Coturnix japonica: one gene and its partner. Each later gene encodes a partner of the first gene's protein in a complex. Links are inferred from orthologs where the notes say so. Each region holds a gene or a part of one and is shown in the gene's direction. Other genes may lie near its edges. The genes, in order: RAB11FIP2 and RAB25.

Region 1 (3,813 bases):
AAAGAAAACAAACTCTACTGTCATTAATTTCAATACACAGTATCTGCAACTCCCCCAACTGCATGCATTCATAATTTTACAGTATGCTCTTTCAAGGCATTACAGGGCTCTTGGACAGTGAGTTATGGGTGCAGCTGGGAGAGTCTGCAACGGCTCACGTTCACCTCGGGCTGGAGGAGCTGGCAGGAAACCCTGCAAGGCTCGGTGGGGCTGCGGAGCTCCCACGTTGGTTGGTTGGACAGGCTGACTTAAACATGCTGCATGCAATCCCAGCACCTGTTTCTTCCTGCCTCACTGAGAAGCAGTATATTTCTTCATATCTCTCTAAAATATGAGTATTCGTAGGGTTGGGGTTTTATTGGTGAATATTCTGTTTAATAAGTTTTTTTGTTGTTGGTTTTTTTAGCATTATTTTTTTTTTTTTGTAAGGATATTCAGATTACTTCATGTGAAACACACAGATGTGCTCTTTTGTAATTGCACTCGTAGTGTTACAGAAGTGACTGCTGAGTTTTTAGATGAAAATAAAAGATTAATCCATATTGCCAGTGATTTATATTTCTAATTTTGAAGCATAACTTTTCATAGGCAGAACTGTTCCTTTTAAGCAGCTGCTGTGTAAGGGAGTCCCAGAACTTATTGCACAGAAAGTCATTCAGCGCAATGAAAGATTTTGCTTTTTTAACCTTTCAGAAGCTCGCTTAGTTGAGCAGTCAGGCTGTATTATTCCATATCTTGTCTAACATGAGGAAACAGTCCCAAAAGAAAGATATCCCAAATTAACGCCACACTTCATTAAATAGAGACATTCTTGGTTTTCACCAAGCTAATTTGATCCAGTTCAGTTAACTCTTTTTTTTTTTTTTTTTTTCCCTGGGATCACAAAAGGCAGCCATGAATGAAGCAAGTTCATCATGTGTTTGACACATCAGTGTGAAACTAAAATGCAGACCATGAGGGAGGGTTCCTGCCTTTTTGCTTTTTAGACAATACCCGATGAATGCAGCCCATCATTCAAAACTATTCTCCAGCAAACTCCAGGCAGAGTGCTTCAGATCGCTGTTACAAACAGGTACAATGGGGGTTAGCCAGACCTCGATTCTCCAGACGCCTTTTTACTTCTGGTTGTGACTGTAATCCAATCTTCCTCTAATATCTTCAGTCTAGCAGATGGTTCTCTGAACTACTATATATGAAGGAAAGACTATTTTTGAAATGAAATAAAAGGACATAGTAAAACATCGGTTTGTATGCTGCATCTCTTCCATTTTTACGCCATGAAATATATGGCTTATAATTTCAGATATCAAAGAGTGATGGGCACAAGACACGTGCTTTTTACTTCAAGCTACCTTTAAAATTAAAAGTGTACAATTTGTACTTTCCAAATTATTTTTTCAACCATAGATTGCAGGGTTTTTTTTTGTTTGTTTTTGTTTTTTTTGTTTTTTACTAATTTGTCTTTATTCATGTATCAGCTTCTTGACTGTGGAATTAAACATTAGTTTTAGGCCATAGAGATTCTCTAGCCTGAAAAATAGGAAAGAAATGAGCTTCTGACTGCCTGTCATAGCATTTGCAGGAGCTTGTTACCAGTTTGGGTGCAGCCAGACCCAGAGATGTGTTTTCTTGAAGCTCTGTCAACAGATGCCACCCTTGACAGCCAATACATGCAACCTGAGTACATGGTAGTTTTTGTGATGTGAAAGAAAGATGCCTACTAAGGTGCTACTGAGGAATTACTATTAGTGAGTCATACCCAAATTCTGAGCACACTTTCTCTAAGACTCAGTTTTCTCTCAAAACTTGCTATAGCAACTATGTGAGCCATGGCAGCATTGCTAGGGTTAGACCAATCTGTAATATCTTTGTACTGCTTACTGTGAACATATATTAGAATGATATCAAAAATTGTGAATAGAGATATTCACATATTCACACAAATATGAAAGTTTGTATGAATTTCAAGGGTTGTCCTAGTTATTCTAAGTTTGACAAGTCAAGAAAATAAATGGTAATAATTACCTTGTGCAGCCAGTACTCTGAGTTCAGTAGTAATTTCTAGTAGAAGTTTTGGCCAAATAAGTGTACACAGTTGATGTTAGTTTGTTTTTCCTCCACAGTTTTAACGTGAATCCTTCTGGCACTGAGGACCTCAGGAAAACAATGGTAAGTTGTGGAGTGTTATGAAAAGCTGTCAGCAAATACAAACTAGCTGGTGCCCAATACAATATGAGCTACTATTCTTTTTTAATTTCTTATAAGGAAATGCTTGTTGCTTGTTTGTTTTGTCCCTGGAGGTGTTCAAGGCCAGGTTGGATGAAGCCAGGTCTAGTTTTAGATACGGAGGTTGGCAGCCCTGCCTGTGGCAGAAGGGTTGGAGCTTGATGAGCCTAGAGGGTCCCTTACAACCCAACCCAGTCTATGAGTCTATGATTTTTGTCTTGCCTTCTATCGCCTATTGCCTTCCAGAAAATCTAATTGGAAAATAAGAAAACTGAAATGAACTTGGAAATAAAGAAGAGTTTTATGCTTAATGTGTAAAATATTTGGATAACCTCTAGTATTACAATGTAGAAAAGAAAGGGAAAATTAGATCTGTACAGGGAGAGAAATAAGAAACACTGGGGTATGATGGATAGCTCTAGAGAAATGCAGTCAGGTGAGAGCCCTGCACTAGGCGGGTTCCATTAGCCATCATAACAGGTGTTTCCTTTCACCAGGCTCTGAGACTGGAGGACCATTTTTAGCTGGTTCATCCAAATGAAAGTAATGAGCTGATACGTGGTGAGATTCATAACAAAAATAATAAATGAGCAGCCTTGCAGAAACACTTAAAATAGAAATTAATACTAAAAGTTATTATTCAAAATACTCTTTTACTGTCAGAGTAGCTAAAAATGTGTACTAGGAAGAAAAGACAAAACAAACTCCACAGATGGTCTGTGCAGCATCTTTGGAAGAAAAATGTGGTTTTGCTCAAATTTATTCTGTGAATAGATCAAATCTTTAAGAGTGGGTTTGTTTTCAATCTTTACAATATATAGAAAACAAGTTTCACAGGGAAATATGACTTTGTACTATTTGCTTTTGGCTGGTTTATGTAAATGTCCTTTAATGATATTTGATGTTTTTATAAACACCCAAGATTTTTTTAATGCAAGTAACTGGTGGGAGATGTCAGCGTATATGAATGCTGCCTTTGATCAGATAGTAAACTGAATTCTACCAGGCGGTTACTTAATCTCTGACAAAACACATCAAAAAAAAAATTGATTTAACTTTGCAGCTATTGTCTGTAAAGTGGCCGTAATTACAGTTTCTATGTGCTTGCAAATGTGCTACTGGAAATTGTGTAATTTATTGCTGGTAAAAGCGCCGTTATGATTCTTTTTAAGAAATAATATGTGAATTGTTTTATTTAAAGGATTTAAAGGTGATAAAAGAAATCCTTGATGATTTTTCTTTCGGAACAGCAGCTATTCTAAATGTCAGCCGCAGGATTATGATGTGGTGCTCATTTAATACAAAATAAAATTAGGAGAAGAAACTACATCACAACCATAGTTTTGAATGAAACCATTTGAATATATATATTTTTAAATATTCCAGATTGCTTTCTGAGGTGTTTGAGGTAATTTATTATTGGGTTCTGCTGTAATAACCCTCACCAATTTATTGCATTTCTTCCTTGCGCATCGCATTGAGTAATTATGTTTGTGTGTCTCCTGCTCTGGTGCCAACACCTGTCTCTGACAGCACTGCTTAAGTGGGAGCAGTAGCCAGTTGAAAGGGCAGCGCGAGCTCTTTAAG
Region 2 (3,913 bases), on another chromosome or scaffold:
GAGGCGACGGAACCGGAACCGGAACGGAGCGCGGAACCGCCCCGAACGGAACCGAACGGCAGCAAACACCGAACGGGGGCGGCCTACACCGGGAACGGGCCCCGCGCCCCGCGCTGCCTGCCATGCTGCGGCCCAAAGCGCTGACGCAGGTGCTGAGCCAGGCCAACACCGGCGGCGTCCAGAGCACGTTGTGAGCGGGGACGGGGCCGGGGGCGGTGCGACCGTACGGTCATTGCGGTGTGATGTGACCGTACCGTCACGGCGGGGCTCGGCCCGGAGCTGACCGTTCCCCGCTCCGTTGCAGGCTGCTGAACAATGAGGGCTCGCTCTTGGCCTACTCGGGATACGGAGACACGGACGCCCGCGTGACCGCGGCCATCGCCAGCAACATCTGGGTGGCCTACGACAAGAACGGGCACCACGCGTTCAACGAGGACAACCTGCGCTTCATCCTCATGGACTGCATGGTACGGAACGGCTGCGGGACCCCACGGGATCCATGCGGGACCCCCGGTGTGCGGGACCCACAGCAGCACCCACAGTGGGATCCGAGGTGTTCAGCAGCAGCTTCTGTGTGGGAGCCCAAGGGGTCCGTGTGAACCCCATAAATCTCAATGTGACCCCATAAATCTCAGTGTGACCCCATAAATCCCAATGTGACCCCATAAATCTCAGTGTGACCCCATAAATCTCAGTGTGACCCCATAAATCTCAGTGTGACCCCATAAATCCCAATGTGACCCCATAAATCTCAATGTGACCCCATAAATCCCACTGTGACCCCATAAATCCCACTGTGACCCCATAAATCCCGCTGTGACCCCCTGAATCTCCGTGTGACCCCGGTTCTCTCCGGCAGGAGGGGCGCGTGGCCATCACCCGCGTGGCGAACCTCCTGCTGTGCATGTACGCCAAGGAGACGGTGGGATTTGGGATGCTGAAAGCCAAGGTGAGGGGATGGGGGTGAGGGGATGGGGGTGAGGGGGTGGGGGGCTGCATTACGGTGAGGTGTGAAAGAGCCACGGGGTTAAAGCCGGGAGGAAGAGGATGGGAGAGATGGGGGAGGAATTGCAATCAAAATGGGAACTGTCTGCGTGGGTCCCAGATTGGTGCTGGGGTGGGACGGGGGTTTGCCCACAGAATGTGGGCGCTGGGGGCTGCACCCCTCACCACCATCCCTGCCCCAGGCACAGGCGCTGGTGCAATACCTGGAGGAGCCGCTGACGCAGGTGGCCGCATCCTGAGCTGCATCTGAGCTGCATCCTGAGCATGGAACCGCGCTGCCACGGCTGAGAGCAGCGCCTGCACGGGGGGAACCGTGTTGTGAGCCCGGCTGTGCTGCTGGGCAGCAGGGGAGGGGAAATAAAGCCACGTGTGGTGCTCGTGTCCTGAGTGTCTGTCAGATCAGTGCAGGGTGGAAGGGTGGGACGGGGTCAGCCGTGCACCCAGCCAGGGGTCTGTGGTGCAGCTGGGAGCGTTGTGCTGTCCCTGCTGGGGCTGCTTCCCCCACGTTCCCATCTCTCTGTGCTGGCAGCAGAGGTGCAGGCGGCCGTTGGTGCCCGGCCAGCTCCATGCTGAGCCCAGGGCCCCAGTGCCCCAGGCTGCCCCGCGCCGCGTGGCCTTGGCAGCCAGGACCGGGCCCGGCTCCTCCTCCAGGTGCCCCGTGACGGTTCCAGGGGTGACATTACCTGCCCAACCTGCGCTGCCGCTCCCAGCCTGCACTCAGCCGCCCTGGGCCTCCCTGCGCCGCCCGCGTCGCCTTCACTCCCCGACCGCGCTCCCTCCTGGGACCCCCCTCACTGCTGGGACCCCCCTCACACCCCGACACAGAGGAGACTTTGCCCCCCTCACCACCCCCTGCAGCCCGCCCCGCTCTGAGCTCTGCGGAGGGAAGGAGGAAACCGGGCGGCAGCCGGGAGATATGAGCAGCACTGAGGACGACTACAACTTTGTTTTTAAAGGTGAGGGGGGCCCAGAAGGACGGGATGGGACGACGGGGGGGCCCTGGCTGCACAGTGCCCTCCCCAGGCTGTGGGTTCCCAAAGCAGGACAGGGCTGGGGCTGTGCCTGCAGCCAACACTGCAGAGGGTCCTCCTCCTTTTTCTTCCTTTTCTGTAAGGCTTTTCTGTAATGTCCCCATGGCACTGGGGACATCCCAGTGCTGCAATGCCACAGCGGTGGGATGCCATTGGGTCTGGTTGAGGCAATGAAGGGTTATCTAAGCTGATCTGAAGTCCAATGGGATCCCTCTGCCCCCCTCAGTGGTTCTGATTGGGGAGTCCGGCGTGGGCAAAACCAACCTGCTGTCCCGCTTCACCCGCAATGAGTTCAACCACGACAGCCGCACCACCATCGGCGTGGAGTTCTCCACCCGCACCGTCCTGGTGGGAGACGCCGTGGTGAAGGCACAGATCTGGGACACGGCCGGGCTGGAGCGGTACCGAGCCATCACCTCTGCGTAAGGATGGATGGCACCCGAGGGTGTCCCTGGATAGATGGGTGCCCTATGGATGGATGAATGCCCTATGGATGGATGTCCCATTGCGTGCCCCATGGATGGATGCCCTGTGCTCACATCCCTGTGGGGATGCTCCAGGGCTGCCTGGAGCACGGGGCGATGACAGGCTGCTCCCCCAGGTACTACCGTGGGGCTGTGGGTGCTCTGGTTGTCTTTGACATCACCAAGCACCAGACGTACGACGTGGTGGAGCGCTGGCTGAAGGAGCTCTATGACCACGCCGAGGCCAGCATCGTGGTCATGCTGGTGGGCAACAAGAGCGACCTGGCGCAGGCACGGGAGGTGCCCACGGAGGAGGCCAAGATGTTTGCAGGTACAGCGTTGTGCCACCCCAACGTGGGGACCCCGGTGGGAGCCCAGCGGGGTCTGCAGGGTCCTGGGGTCTGCTGTCCTTGCAGAGAACAACGGGCTGCTCTTCATTGAGACGTCGGCGCTGGACTCCACCAACGTCGAGCAGGCGTTTGAGACCGTCCTGAAGGGTGGGTGCTGGCTGTGGGTCCTCGCTGGGCTGTGGGGCAGGGGATGCTCCACGCCTCTCCCCCGCCCTGCCCCACCTGAGTTTCGCTGTTGTCTTTCTGGCTGGTTGGGTTTCCGGCGCTTTGTGCTGGGCGTTCCGCTCTGGTTTCATTGCTGGGGCCTCAGGCGGCCCCACAGGTGCCTTCATCCCCTGTAATCCATGGTCCCGGTCCGGATGCTCCTGACTCAGTGTGTCCAGCTCATTGCAGAGCAACCCACAGGGACGTGGGGCAGAGAGGGGCAATGCTCAGCCGGGAGCATCTCCCCAGGAATGGATGTGTAGGGCAGGGGCACCGCAGGGAGTGCTGTGCTGAGCCGTGCTGTGCTGAGCCGTGCTGTGCTGTGCTATGCCATGCTGTGCTGTACAGTGCCATGCTGTGCTGTGCTGTACCATACTGTGCTGTACGGTGCCATGCTGTGCCGTGCTGTGCCATACTGTGCTGTACAGTGCCGTGCTGTGCTGTACAGTGCCGTGCTGTGCCGTGCTGTGCCATACTGTGCTGTATAGTGCCATGCTGTGCTGTGCTATGCCATACTGTGCTGTACAGTGCCGTGCTGTACCATACTGTGCTGTACGGTGCCATGCTGTGCCGTGCTGTGCCATACTGTGCTGTACAGTGCCGTGCTGTGCCGTTGGCTATGCCTATCTACGTTGCTGTAACAGTGCCGCTGCTGTGCCGTGCTGTAGCATACTGTGCTGTACGGTGCCATGCGTCCGTGCTGTGACTGTACCATACTGTGCTGTACAGTGCCGTGCTGTGCCGTGCTATGCCATACTGTGCTGTACAGTGCCGTGCTGTGCCGTGCTGTACCATCCCCACGAGCTGCCAGCCCTGATCCCCTCGGGGCCAGAGAGAAGCCGAGGGAAGGAAGGGAAGT

The links.
Region 2: the proteins of RAB11FIP2 (region 1) and RAB25 are in contact, whole or in part, in a crystal structure (PDB 3TSO), measured with the Homo sapiens proteins. The link is inferred for Coturnix japonica from reciprocal best matches to the Homo sapiens genes RAB11FIP2 and RAB25. Residues at the interface, in NP_055719.1 of Homo sapiens: Arg475, Glu478, Ile481, Asp482, Asn483, Leu485, Val486, Met489, Pro493, Ser494, Leu496, Arg497, Val498, Pro499; in NP_065120.2 of Homo sapiens: Arg34, Ile45, Gly46, Val47, Glu48, Phe49, Ser50, Thr51, Lys62, Trp66, Arg73, Arg75, Ala76, Ile77, Ala80, Tyr81.

What each region holds. Positions count from the first base shown.
Region 1 is NC_029521.1:26,280,218-26,284,030, reverse strand, and holds part of RAB11FIP2 (rab11 family-interacting protein 2), read left to right. Parts: intron 1-986; coding exon 987-1,072; intron 1,073-1,573; coding exon 1,574-1,688; intron 1,689-2,123; coding exon 2,124-2,169; intron 2,170-3,813. UniProt on the Homo sapiens protein: A Rab11 effector binding preferentially phosphatidylinositol 3,4,5-trisphosphate (PtdInsP3) and phosphatidic acid (PA) and acting in the regulation of the transport of vesicles from the endosomal recycling compartment (ERC) to the plasma membrane.
Region 2 is NC_029540.1:80,843-84,755, forward strand, and holds the start of RAB25 (ras-related protein Rab-25), read left to right. Parts: upstream 1-1,482; 5' UTR 1,483-1,921; coding exon 1,922-1,961; intron 1,962-2,262; coding exon 2,263-2,458; intron 2,459-2,637; coding exon 2,638-2,831; intron 2,832-2,916; coding exon 2,917-2,997; intron 2,998-3,913. Other genes in the region: ragulator complex protein LAMTOR2, read left to right, coding at 123-190, 305-467, 860-949, 1,188-1,244. UniProt on the Homo sapiens protein: The small GTPases Rab are key regulators of intracellular membrane trafficking, from the formation of transport vesicles to their fusion with membranes.